Daphnia pulex: one gene and its partner. The protein of the gene in region 1 purifies or fractionates together with the protein of each later gene. This does not show direct contact. Links are inferred from orthologs where the notes say so. Each region holds a gene or a part of one and is shown on either strand. Other genes may lie near its edges. The genes, in order: dynamin-1-like protein and TATA-binding protein-associated factor 2N-like.

The links.
Region 2: the proteins of dynamin-1-like protein (region 1) and TATA-binding protein-associated factor 2N-like purify together in Homo sapiens (affinity purification with mass spectrometry; 3 studies listed by BioGRID and IntAct, with this or other methods). This does not show direct contact. The link is inferred for Daphnia pulex from reciprocal best matches to the Homo sapiens genes DNM1L and SERBP1.

What each region holds. Positions count from the first base shown.
Region 1 is NC_060025.1:9,307,593-9,314,430, reverse strand, and holds the start of dynamin-1-like protein, read right to left. Parts: upstream 4,544-6,838; 5' UTR 4,340-4,543; intron 1-4,339. UniProt on the Homo sapiens protein: Functions in mitochondrial and peroxisomal division.
Region 2 is NC_060019.1:5,855,677-5,862,323, forward strand, and holds the start of TATA-binding protein-associated factor 2N-like, read right to left. Parts: upstream 4,320-6,647; 5' UTR 4,256-4,319; coding exon of another isoform or gene 4,112-4,255; intron 4,039-4,111; coding exon of another isoform or gene 3,608-4,038; exon of another isoform or gene 3,299-3,607; 5' UTR 3,129-3,298; exon of another isoform or gene 2,865-3,128; 5' UTR 2,851-2,864; coding exon 2,816-2,850; exon of another isoform or gene 2,751-2,815; coding exon 2,509-2,750; intron 2,166-2,508; coding exon 2,042-2,165; intron 1,841-2,041; coding exon 1,487-1,840; intron 1,244-1,486; coding exon 370-1,243; 3' UTR 360-369; intron 294-359; exon of another isoform or gene 291-293; 3' UTR 1-290. Other genes in the region: asparagine-rich zinc finger protein AZF1-like, read left to right, coding at 3,608-4,038, 4,112-4,255, 4,320-4,577, 4,646-5,150; translation initiation factor eIF-2B subunit beta-like, read right to left, coding at 5,600-5,672, 5,747-5,943, 6,008-6,202, 6,271-6,427, 6,492-6,647. UniProt on the Homo sapiens protein: Ribosome-binding protein that promotes ribosome hibernation, a process during which ribosomes are stabilized in an inactive state and preserved from proteasomal degradation.

The DNA of each region.
Region 1 (6,838 bases):
TTTGTCGGCTGTACTCATCTTCGTTTTTCATCCAACGTATAGAAGAGAGAGAAAAGATCATTTATATTTATAACAGGCGTCCCGATGAGTGATGATGGGAAATGTGAACGGAACAACACCACCACCAACCTGATGCTCTTACCAATGACACCCCCTCCCTACCACTTCCATCCGTACAGTAGCTCATCAGTATTCCCCCCCCTACAACTCCGTGCGGATGGCACTCGGGCTGGATATTAATAAAAAGATGTGGAAGAATGATCACGTCTTCACGTTTTTTACTCGAAATAAACATGGCAGAAAGAAAAAATAAAAATAAAACATTTTTCTTGTGTTTCCCCGGCTGAATCAAAGTTATTTTTTCGCCGGGAATCAATCAAAGCCTCTCTCTCTCAAACTCTCTTGTATATAGAGATATCACACACAAGTGAATTGAACGTTGTTTCGCGGCTTTCCATTTTCGGGATTCCAGTCACGAATTCACGATTCGTGCAGAGCCACGAATCGGGTCAGAGATTATTAGCCAGCCAGCTATATAGTGCTAGTCTGCTCTCTAAGCCATTATTTAAGGCCCTCGGGCCAAATGTCCGGGTTATTATAACGGTGACGCAGCAGCGGGTCAGTCCGTGAAAAATGGGAGTCAAAAGAAAAGAAAGAAAAAAGACAATGAAAAGACGAATCAATCAAAAAGGTCCACTTTGATTCACGCCCTCGGTTTTTATTATTTTTTTTTATTATTTGGGAAAGTCTTGATCACTTTCCTTCAATCCCGTTTTTGCCGATACGTAGAAATTTGGGGCCAGCGAGATAATATCCATCGATCGAGTCGTCGCGCAAGTCAATTAACCCACAACAGGAAAAAAAGGATTATTCCCTAATCATAATATAATACAACCGGCTCGCACAAGAATCTATATACGAGTATACGAGTCTATACTATAGATAGAGTTGATTCGATTAGACCCAGTGGGTGGTGTAGGCGGGGGCAGGGGATCCTCGGGCAATTAGACCATGAATCCTTGTTGCATGCTATGAGATAATTGGCCTCAGCAGCCAAAAACCCAATTTCCTTTTTCTCTTTTTCTTTCTCTCTCTCGTGAGCCCCAAAAGTAAACCGCCGGCAACCCAAAAGCTTTTTTTTCTCCCCTTTAAAACTTATATAGTCTGTTATTATTATTATTATTGTTAAGTAGACTCAGTGTAGATGAGTCTAGGCAGCAGCAGTTATAAACAAATGAAACGCTAACGAGCTTTTATCCCCCCCACTCCCGTACGAAACTGCGTGAACCAATAAAACAAAAGAGAGATTTAAAAACAAAAGTGGAGAGATCATTGCCACCTCATTATGAATATCATTCACCCGTTTCATTACGGCTCACCAAATCTCGTCAGGTTCTCGTTAAGAGTTGCCGAAATTGAATTCAAACCGACACATGACGACCTCTCATATATTGAAAAAAAATCGATTTCAGAATTTACAGAATGATTGGATTTCGTTCCTGGGAGTTTTGTTTATCCATCCGATTGATGGGCTGTTGTTGTTGTTGCATTTTCATTTCGTGGATTTAAAAAAAAAGAAAAAAAGATTCTTTTCAATTTAGCCTTTAACAATTGAATTGGATCCGTTTCAAATAGATATATACTACGTCTATATTCTTTGGGCCCTTTTGTGTAGTAGTTCCTCTTAGGATATTATATCCGAGAAGGGCGGGCGGAGGCTGGATGGATTCAGCAATATTAGAAGCTCTCCGGCTTTTTGGGGCCCCCCCTTCTGAATATAAACGTATATATCTACTGCGTACTGCACCCATAAAGACTTATTGCACACGTGCCGGGGTATCAAACGGATTATAACCTTCTCTCCCCCCTCCAGCAGCACATACACCCCACAACAACAACAACAACAACTAAAAGTAAGAGAAAGAGAAAAGTAACATTTCGAATCTGGCGCTCTCACGAGACGACTCAAAGTGTACGGGGGGGTTGGTTGGTTGGTTCTTCTAATCCTAAGCGATTGCCCCCTTCGCCTGTACATCTCTAAGAGTTTGACTGGGCAGCAGCAGCTATATATAAATATATATTTATAATCTACAATGTTTTTCTCTCTTTTGTGTTGTTGTTGCTGCTGCTGTGGCTGGATGTGTGACAGGAGGATCTCGAGGTCAAGATTAATGACGCCCTGATTACCAGCCCCCAACACGATTCCTTACTTTGATGATGATGATGCCACACGTACGTAGCCCACACAACTTCTAGGCCCTAGTTTTTCTCTCTTTATTTTGCTCTATATCTAATCAATGGGGAGGCTGGCAACCCCCCCTGCCCCAACGGAGAAAAATACAACAACCGCTGCTGCTTCTATCGATATTGATGGATTTCTTCTTCCGACTGGAGGGCCGAAGATGATGGAGTTCAGGTAAGATACCTGCCGGGCCCAAAAGGCGATCGATAGTGGCTCAGAAAATAAAAAATCAAATAAAAACACGGAAAATTTCAGAAAGGAAAATAGAAAGAAGAAGCTTTTAGAGCGATTGGATGGAGACCCAGAGGCGCTCCTGAATCATTGATCTCTCCTCTCTCTATCCAAAAAGGAGCCCATCGCTTATTTCCAGTCACACACGATGCGTCAATCTTTCACGCCGACGTTTCTTCCCTTATTTTTACTGCTCACGACGACCGCCGAGTAACGACTGCACTACATGTTTATTGTATGTGCTGCTGCTGTTGTTGCACTCTGACCTTCTTCCACACACAAACACACAACTCGGGAGTCTCTCTAGAGGGTTCTCACCACCACAAGGGAGAATCAACCAATCGATTCGAGAGCTTCAAAAACTTCTTTGGGCAATCAACTCGACGCTTTTGATTACTTTGCTGCTGCTGCTGCTGAAACTCTTGTTTGTGTTGATAAGAAGATGAACTCAATTTGCAATTCCAATCAGCTCGAGAGACTGTGAAAACAAGCGATACAGTCCTCGACCCATCATTCAATTATCCCCCCCACCACCACCACAGAAAATAAAATAATTTTTCGGGAAAGGAAACACAAAAAGTCAATGGGGATTTTCACCAGCGTCCGTGTGACTATTTCCACCTGCCGGCCTGTTTTCAAGTGGGGAGGAAATATATAATCAATGTCTCTAATTCCATCACATACACAGAGAGAGAGTCTTATAAAGGAATCTTCCATCTCTCAAGGAGATTTCCTCACATTCAATGGGGTTGGGCGACAACACAAATGGACTGATTGGTTTCCCAACATTCTTGGCGAGAGAATTTCCCGTTGGGTTGTTGTGTGTTGTTCGTAGGGCTGGATGGATGGATGGGGGGGTTTCCGCTTCGACAAAATCCAGAGGATATACGCATTGATATTATATATATATACATATCAAAAGGGGCGGGTGATAAGAATACAAGGTTGAAGAAAAGGGGCGGATAACAATAGGCTTTTACCGTTTCAATTTAACAGAAATTTTTATATCAATGTAGTTCTTTTTTCCCTGAGCATATAATACCTTTTTCCCTTTACTTTATTCTGGCAAGTTGATTGAATTCCGAGTCTGACTTGATCAAGGTTTCCTTTTGATGTTTCCCCTACGAGAGCAACGGAACGGAGGAATCAAAGGAACTGCGCCACCCACCCACACGTAACTGATGCTCCATTAGATGATTTGCTGCTGCTGCTACGTAGTACTCGATTCTATTTAATAATATGACAAGTTGGGCAAGACGTTGCAACTAGTCCAATCGGGGCGAGCTACTTTGACGGCGTTAAAAACTTCAACTTTGGCGTTTTTCACGCAATCAAGAGAAAAGAAGGAAATTTCGTGGAAAACAATTCATCGACATCAAAAGGTGTGTGTGTTGTAGATATCGGCAAATTCGATTTTTCAAATCTGCGCATTTCTTGGTAGCAACACCATCTAGCGGTAGACAAATGTAGCTTTTTATCTGGCATCTAGCGGCCAAAAATGAAGCTTTTCTATTGATTTGGTGTAAATAAAGTCGTGAAAAAGAAATTTAAACCACGTGAACAAATCGTTCAAGAAAAAAGAAACTTTAAGACAGTCAATCAATGACGAGCACTGTTCATAATTGCACAATTAGGAAAGCTTCCTGATAACAAAGAAAAAACCGCGAAAAAGTAGCCTAACTGCACACAGTGTCAATATGGTAATTTTACTCAATTTTTTTGGCTAATCAACCAAACTTTCCAATAGTGCAAAGGTTCCCAATAAGAAAAAAACTAGCAATTATCAAAGACTATGGTTTCAGATAATAAGCCAGCACAAACACTTGGAATAATAATTGAATTGAAATAATAGGTTGTGCCACTTACAATTTCGGGGATTGCCAGATGATTTCCTCCATTGTCGCTAGCTGTTCTGTCTGTTGCTGAAGAAAAGTCATCTACGCCATGGCTTTCATCCCTCGACACTCTGGAGATGGTAGAACTGGTCAATCTCTTTGTCTGTTCCCGGAAAAGGTTTTGAGGTCTGCCACAACAAACCACTAAATCCAACCTTCTGATGTTCACACTTCCATTAAGTACACAGGCTTAGAGATCTTATGGGTTTGTTTTAGTACATATAAATGTCATCAGTTAAAAATTCAAGTTCACTTTGTGCAGTTGAATAACTTCGAACCACGTGTGGCCATGGCCGTGAGTATATGCAAGATTAATCGATTCGTTTTTTAAATAACGAAATGAATTCACAGTAAATTTTTTATTCACCCGCTATAATTTAAAATGTAAATATGAAAGTTTATCACGTGCATCACCTTTACCATTTTTAAGTTTTTAGAGAACTCGAATCGTAAGTGTTTAGCTGTTACCTCGTCGACTCGTCGGTCGGAAATGAAAATTGCCACGATTTTATCCCGCCAATTTTCTGTTCTTCTTGTCGATTGCCAAATCTACTGATTATTTATTTCAATGACTTGAAAATATATATATTTTTCTTAAAACATCTTTTTGAACATCAACACTTTTTTAAATCAATTGCAGGAAAAAAAAAGAATAATAATAAGAATCGTCAGTTGATTTCATTGATCGTCTCTGAGTCATTTATCGTGTGTAACTAAGGTTAGTAATTCTTTATGATGGATGATGGTACAATCTTGGTAATATCTAATTATTTCTAAACTTCTAATCAGTTTAAAAATAAAAACCAAGCATTGGAAAAGAAAGCATGGCAGTTAGCAACATTTGGTGCTGGGAAAAATGTTTCACGTCGTGAAGGAAAGAAGTTGAATCAAACTTTAAAAAAATAGTGGATTTAAGCTGATGACACTGAAAGTTGAAATAGTTGAAGGGAGTTATGTTATTTATTGGAAATCGAGATTCGTGTGAAATAAGAAATTCAAATGGTGTGAAATATGAGCGCGAGGGAAAATGTAACACGTGACGTGACCGTTAGATGGCATAGAAAGAGGGAAAATTTATTCGTGTAAGGATGAAATTACTCCCGAACTCAGTCCCGAAAGGAAAATTGAAGACGTTCAGTTTCGCAACTTACGGGGCATCATGCCCACTCACACCCACTGATTTATGCAATACATGCAATATTAAAATTATAGGTTCCCATTTTGGTGTGAAAACTGGACAATATGTGGCGATTCCGGGAATTTCTGTACCTTTTCTCGTCTTGTCCAACGGCCGCCCTTCGCTGTACTTCTTTTGATTAAGTATTAACGTTGTTTAGTCGAGGGCTATATAGTCTAAGAGAAAGTTAATTTACCATTTTCGTCGACTTGGTTTTGGGAATGTATAAGTCCTGGGGAATTCCATTTAAAGTTGCGGTTAACACCTCCGAAATAAAAAGAGATCTTGTTAGAGAAACATTCAATATTTATGCCACGTTTCCTGGGCCGAACGCAACCAGCCGAAAGAGAAAATACTTGTAACTTGTCGCCAGTCAATTCTTTATTTGTAGATGGGCTATTCAGTGGCCTGAGTTGGCGCGTGGGCAACTGTACAATTGTACAGTTGGTCGGACACCACTGCGGGCCTAGTCACGTGGCTTCCCACTTCAAATTAACGTTAGTTAGTCTACTAGTTATATACGTTCAAAAGTTACACGCCAAATCAGTTGACAGCCGAACTTACCAGATTCGATACAAGACTTACTTCATCCAACGTTCTGTAGGGATATCAAATGTAAATCATTTCAGCAATTAAGTGCAAATCGAGGTGAGTGTTCAATCATTACGATTTCTCTTTAAATGCTTTAAGCCTTTAACAAGTTTTTTCTTAGCTAATTAATGTTCGGTTTCTCATTGAAATTTTACTTTTGACATCTAAATTATTGAAACCCACTCTCTTTCCTCTTTTATTCACCGTAATGAATGTGACGTAATAGGATCGAAAATGAACCGAAAATAACGAATAAATGGTATACACTTTTCAAGAGATTTTTCCGTCAGAAACAAAAATCTAGCAACAGAAAATGAATCAATGTAGCCTCATTAGCTTTGCTGTTCTCAATAATTCGACAGATTTTCTATTGCATTGATAATTAGCGACGTAGAAGTGTACGGTGATACATAATAAACCTATACAATTTATACATGGAGCAAATTGAACTCTATGGACAGCAGATGGTACTGCGCAACTGCCGCCGTGTGGTGTTAACAAAAAAGGGAACTGGCAATTCAAATAAAGAGCTCTTCCATCGGAGCATCAACTTACATCCAACAGAACTTGGCCAGTGGTAAAGACATCACCCACGGGCCGCATTGACTTGTAACGAGGTTTTACCAGGAAATTTTTTAAACTTTGTGCACCTGCAATTCCGGATCGAGACGTGCTGCAAGCAATTCTTCGCCACCAGTTGAG
Region 2 (6,647 bases), on another chromosome or scaffold:
CAGGGAGGGGGAGAAGGGATCGAATGCGAGGATGTAAATGTAATACACGACGAACACGCACACGCATAGAGAAAGACAAAAAAAAAAGAAAGAAAAGAAATGGAGCTACGTCATTTGATTTAACTATCCATCCTTAAGATAAACGAGGATGTGGTGGTGGTTATTGGCTTCTTTTTTTTTAAGGAGAAAAAAAATTGGTGAGTAGTGGTGGGGGAGCCTGGTCGAGCTGGCGGAGGAGGCTACTCGTATGTGTTCACGAAGAGGTGGTTTTTAGGGCACACCTGTCAACCCTGCTAAAACAAATAATAATTCAATTAGTTCAAGCTGGTTTAAGAAAGGCGTTTTATTTTTTTGGTTACCTATGAGGATTTAGCCGAGGGCCGGGAAATCCTTCTCATCGTCCACTTTAGGAGCGGCTGGCATGGACGGACCGCGATTACCACCACGGGATCCTCTTCCGCCACGGTAAGTACCACGTTCGCCTCCTTCGCGATCGCCGCGGTATCCACCACGATATCCGCCACCACCTTCACGTTGTTCGCCTCCTTCGCGATCGCCACGGTATCCACCGCGGTAACCTCCACGGTAGCCGCCTTCACGTTGCTCGCCTCCCTCGCGATCTCCGCGGAAACCTCCACGGTATCCGCCACCCTCACGGGTCTCGCCTCCCTCGCGATCGCCACCGCGGTATCCACCACGGTAACCTCCTTCGCGTTGCTCGCCTCCCTCGCGATCTCCGCGGAAGCCTCCACGGTATCCGCCGCCTTCACGTTGTTCTCCACCTTCGCGATCGCCGCCGCGGTATCCACCACGGTAGCCTCCCTCGCGATATCCACCACCTTCACGTTGCTCTCCACCTTCGCGGAAGCCTCCACGGTAACCGCCTTCGCGATCACCACGGAATCCTCCCTCGCCGCGACCCCTTCCGCGACCACGACCACCGCGATCGCTTCCACGACGCGAGTCAGAGAAGCGGATCTCGATGTCCAAACGCTTTTGGCGTCCAGCTCGTTGAGGATACTCGGCCGTCAGATCGATAATTTCCTCTTCGCTTTCATCGTCATCCTTCTTCTTGTCAAGAACAAAGGTCTTTTTCCATTGAGAGTTGTCTTCACCTTCTCCTGGCTTGCGAATATTGAACTCGGGCTTCTTGCGTTCACCCCTCAGAGCTCTCCACTCATCTAGCGTCAACTCCTTGGGCTCTTCATCTTCAGGAGCCACTGGAGCAGTCTCTTCTCCCTCCCTATAATTTGGAAAAGATTCAAATTATTATTTTACATCTAATAACAATTTCAATGGTAAATGTAAGTCTTTAAAAGTTGTCAGCATCCTTTTGGCTTGCCTTATTCAACGAAAGTTTCTCTGAAATCTTTCTCGGCGTCAAAGTCTCATCAGTTTGAAATAAAATAACAAAATAGAACCCATGCACAGTAGATAGTGGTTCAAGCTAGGAAAACAATTAGTTTAAAAATAAAGCCTTATTTACTTGACTTCAGCTGTTTCAGCAGGAGCGACGACTTCAGCCTCTCCCTCGACAACCTCTTCAGCGACAGCAGGCTCCAGCTGGCCCTCAATTTCGTCTTGGACGCTTCCCCAATTGTGCGGACCACTACCTTCACGTTTCTCAATGGGTTTAACGCCACTCTTGTCAGAGCCAGATTGGCGGTCAAAATCGCGTTTGCCTCGTTGGTCTTGCATACCGCCACGACCGCGTCCACGACCACGGCCGCCACGGTCTCCGCCGCGGAACGCACCTCGTTCACCACGGAACGCCGAGCGAGGACGGAATTCAGCATCGTTACCCGTGCCAGGAGATCCACCCTCCGTGTTAGTCACGGATCTGAAATTGTTCCAGAAAGGTTAACATTAAAATATTATGAAGGAGAAAACAACAAAGGAAATAGTTGAGATAATCACACATAATTGCTACAAGCTTTTCAGTATCCTTTTGGCCATGGCTTAGTCATTGAACACTCGCCAAGATAGATCTCATCAGATAGCTTCACAATTTAAAGGAATCAATTATGGAAGTAATTCTCACCCAAAATCCCTAGGACGGTCTTCATTCCTCCTGTTGTTCCTTTCTTCTCGGGGAATGCTGTTGGGGAAACGACCTCCCCTGTCTCCCCTTGGTGGTCTAGGACCAAGGCCAGATCGATATCCATCTAAAAACAAAGATAAATGCCTGTTATTAGAAAATCACAAAATCTTTCGCAGAAATATTGATCATTGTTTACAATCAGTATCCTTTTGGTTAGCTCTCAACAGAAACATTCAATGTTTCTTCACTAAAAAGATTCTCATCACAAACAAAATTACACATTAACAACAAGGGCCAATAGCTCACATTTATAAAATAGAAGTAATTGGAAAATGTAAAAAATATCAGGTGTGAAGATAGAGAGTTGAAATCCCCGCAACGTGGTGACCACGTTGTCAGCGGCTCAAGGTCATAAAACTCGTCTAGTAACTTCCAAGAAAAATACTATATTGGAAAAAAAAACTCACCTTCACGGGGCTTGTTTTGTTCGGCGGGTTTGATAACATTGGCTTGCGTCTCCTTTAGTACAGCAGTTTTCTTAGCTGCTGTAGCTGGTTGAGTAGGAGCTCCACCGGATTTGCCTTTGACTTCGGCCGGCTTCGCACTACCAGTTTTAGCTCCGGCATCGACTGTTTTCTCTGCCGGTTTCTTGGTTTTCTCCTTAATGACTTCCAGAGGATCTTCACCCTCATCTAAAAACAACGCATACCTATGATTGAAATACAAGTCATTAATACATGAATCCATTTTTATGTGTAGAAGGTGTATATTTGCCTATTGGTGATTCCTATCCCGTACGTGGCCTCCATGCTTTCCTGGGGCCCTGTAACACAAAATGAAAGGTAAATTAAGCCACTCGGAACAAATGCTTACAGAAAAGTTGCCAAGAACGACTCTAAGAACAAGTCCCACAGCACAATGAAAAACTATGGACAGCCACACGATAGTGTGCGAGTCACAATAAGATCACATGCTTTGAAGAAAACGTTGAACACGCGACGACAGGAGAATATGCGTAAATAACGCATATGACTCAAATGAAAACGATATAAATAGCTAGTTAACTGCATTAAAGAAATAATTTTACCTGTGACTTGACGCCCCGATGAATCTGGATATAAATTTTGCTGTTAACAGCGATTCTAACCGCACAATCATGAAATGAAGGGGAATTCTGACTACTGGAGTTGCCAGTAGAGGACTTCTACTACTGGAGCTTGCCTTCGTTAAAGGCTGTGGTGTTGCCGGACCACGTCTCTGCGACAAATTAAAAAAAATTTCAATATGCGTTGTCTAAAACCAATTTAACCACTAAATATTATTTTAGAATTATTCAAATTGTCTTTTTTTTATGTGTTGTAACTTTGCAATTATTTAAAGTGGAAATTTGAGTCGGCAATGACGCCATGTTTTGAGCGCCAAAACGTTGGAAAAAAAGCGGGGGAAAGGGGGAACACGCTTCTGTTGTCAGTGGTAACTGTCGGTGTGGGAGATTTTACGTCGTGAGACTTTATCAAAAGAAAGTGATTTTTTGGAATATTAGTGTTGTCAACTGTTACTAAGAAGATGGAAGGAATAATGCTGCATGCCTACGAAACCCCGAAAAGGTGTCGAATGAAAGAAGAAGATCAATCTTTCATTCTACTAGATAACTCTGCTCTCACTGGTCAAAGCTGCGTCACTGATAGTGACGATTCGCTGACTACTAGAGCCAATTACAACGAAAATAGTCTGAAAAGAGGACGACCGAGAGCTGAAGTGATCAATAATCTGATTATTGAAGGATCTTCATCTCACAGTTCAATTCGTTGTGATATCTGCAATCGTGTATTTCCCCGAGAAAAATCCCTCCAAGCCCACAAAAGAATCCATACAGGGGAAAAGCCCTACTGTTGTGATTACCCTTCATGTGGCAAAGCATTCACTCAAAGTGGGCAGCTAAAAACACATCAGAGACTACATACAGGAGAGAAACCTTTTATTTGTAGTGTTGCTGGGTGAGTGACAATACATTTTGATTGATATTAATGTAATAATATTAATGTTAATTTTGATGTTTTCTCTTTAAAGGTGTAACAGCAGATTCACTCATGCCAATCGACATTGTCCAGATCATCCTTATGCTGGACTACGAAGAAATCATGAGCTGGCCCTTCATGCCTTGAATAATCAAACTGAAAACAACTCACCAGAAGTTCTCCTTTGGCTGGAAAAGTATGTTGATTTTATATGGTTTTCAAGAATGCAAATTAATTATAATTTTCTGTTTGACTCTCAGTTACAGGAAGAGGAATGATGAAAAAACACCAGGCAAGTTGTCTGATACCAACGACGATACCGATTCTAGTATTAGAATTAAGAAATGTCGAACAAAGAAAGCCTGCTGGTCAAGTGACTCGCAACAAGAAAACGAACAACAGAATCAGGATAATAACATCAACAGACAGCACCGTAGAAGCAAAGGCAGCATCGCCAAATCACTGCACTATGGAATGGAATCAACTAGTGATGAAACCCATTCGATTCCCCTCTATCGGTTAGTGTTACTAAAACTATCAAATGTCTTTCTCGGATTGCATCTGACATTCATTTGCTTTGTTACAGGAAACTTTGCGAAGCTGTAGAGCCTTCTTCGTTTGGCTGTACTCCTCTTCAATGGTCTCCGAGGTCGAACAACAACAAGAACAAGTCCATCATAACTAGTCCGACTAAATCGACACCGCGCCGCGACATATCATCCGGATATGAATCTTTGCTTCAGGAGTGCCACCTCAACAGTACCTTGGATTCCAGTCGCGAAAACGTCATGAACGAAACGGCTAACGGTTCCAGCGGATTTTTGGCGCTGCCTGACACACCTGTCCGTCCCGAAAAACCCAAGCGGCGTTGGCTGCGTGAAGCTCTTACGAGTAACAACGAACAGCTCATTACCAACATGAACCGACCCAGTGTCATAATAGCTTCACCCAGGGTATTTCAACCCAAAAACACGTCCACACCAGATAAACCCAATAACAGCACCTTAATGCGAGCACTCCAAAACGCCGAAAAACAATGGACTGGCGCGATTGCTTTGATGCAGCTGGCCTCTTCAAGTTCGCAGTGCTGAAAAGAAAATGAACATAATGAATTCACCAAAGTTTTGTCTCTCTCAATAACCTATCCTTCCAATTCTGTCAATTTCTAATCTGCTGTTCCATTTCCTTGTAATTGCTCAGTGAAAAACGGTATTATTTTCGCTTATTATGATATTTCTCCATTTCCATCACTACTTTATTTTGAGAACTCTTTCTCGTACCTGAAAGATGAATCGACTGTTCTCTTCACTACTTATTTAATTTACTCTCTCCTTTCGATCCAGTGTCTTGATGAAGCTTTAACCAATCGATTCGTGCTTTTGGTGTTTACTCTTTTAATCTTGCTGATAGAGAAGACCAATACTTAGAACCCAACTGTAGTTTTGAAACGAAACAAAAATTCACTCCATGTTCGTAATTTTCTTAGTGCTGTGTGTTTATGTATCTCGGCCTTTTTAATACAAAGCCATTTTTTCCCACATTACAATTGCACGTCCAAAGGGTGGTACAGTTCACTGAGGAGTCGGTAGATGTAAGACGGTGCATTGCCTCCGCTAGAGAAACAAGTGTGATTATAAAATAGATACTTCTTCATTATCTTCAAACTATTTAAAAATAATTCGCTTACGTATTTGAAATAAAGAGTGTGACGAGCTCTGGAGGTACGTAGTCGAAAATTGGATTGTAGACGTTCACTTTGGAAACGAGCTTGCCTTCGTCGTTGTTCAATACTTCCTCGGGTGACACAAACTGGTTGAATCCATCTTGATCAAGGCTACAGACATATTCGGGACAGAGTTTAAACATTGGTGCACATACGACGAACTGAAATCATAAAAAATAAATTATTTTAGCTGAAAGTGTAGGCCTACAAAACTTATTCCATTACCGGAACCGAATAATGCTTTGCAGCCAGTGCAAGGGTATGAGTGCCACACACTGCTTTTAGACCACCGTTGGCCATAACAGAATGAGTACCGATGATTACTTTATTCACACGTGCCATCATTGCGAAAATGGCAGAATCCGGAATAAGGGTAGTAGAGATACGAGCTTCGGCTAAATCTGCAGCCAATTGATGTCCCTGTAATAATAGTCTGGAGTAAATATACAGGTGTTATGCAAATAAACGTTTTCAAATTCGCTGCCTACGTGGAAAAATGGAGCACATTCAGCAACGATGACCTGGAAAACACGATTTTTCGCAGCTGACTTCAGAAACGCCGAGACAGTTTTAGAATAACCAATAGTCATGATGATTTCGTTAGCGTGAATGTGTTCTAGGGCCTGGGCGGAAATGTCGATTTCACTGTGGAAACAAATTAAGGTAGTTGAATAGGCTGTGAAGCTAGACATGTGGTAAATTCTCAAACCTGGATTCTAATTCGGCAAGGAACTCTCCAATGTGCTCCATGATGGCTGGTTTGAGCAAGGGGATGTTTTTAGTGTAATCAGAATCACTTTCATCTGCTGTGAGAATTTTTTGAAGTGAGTCTTGCAAATCAGATTCTTCTTGTTTTCCTTTCTGC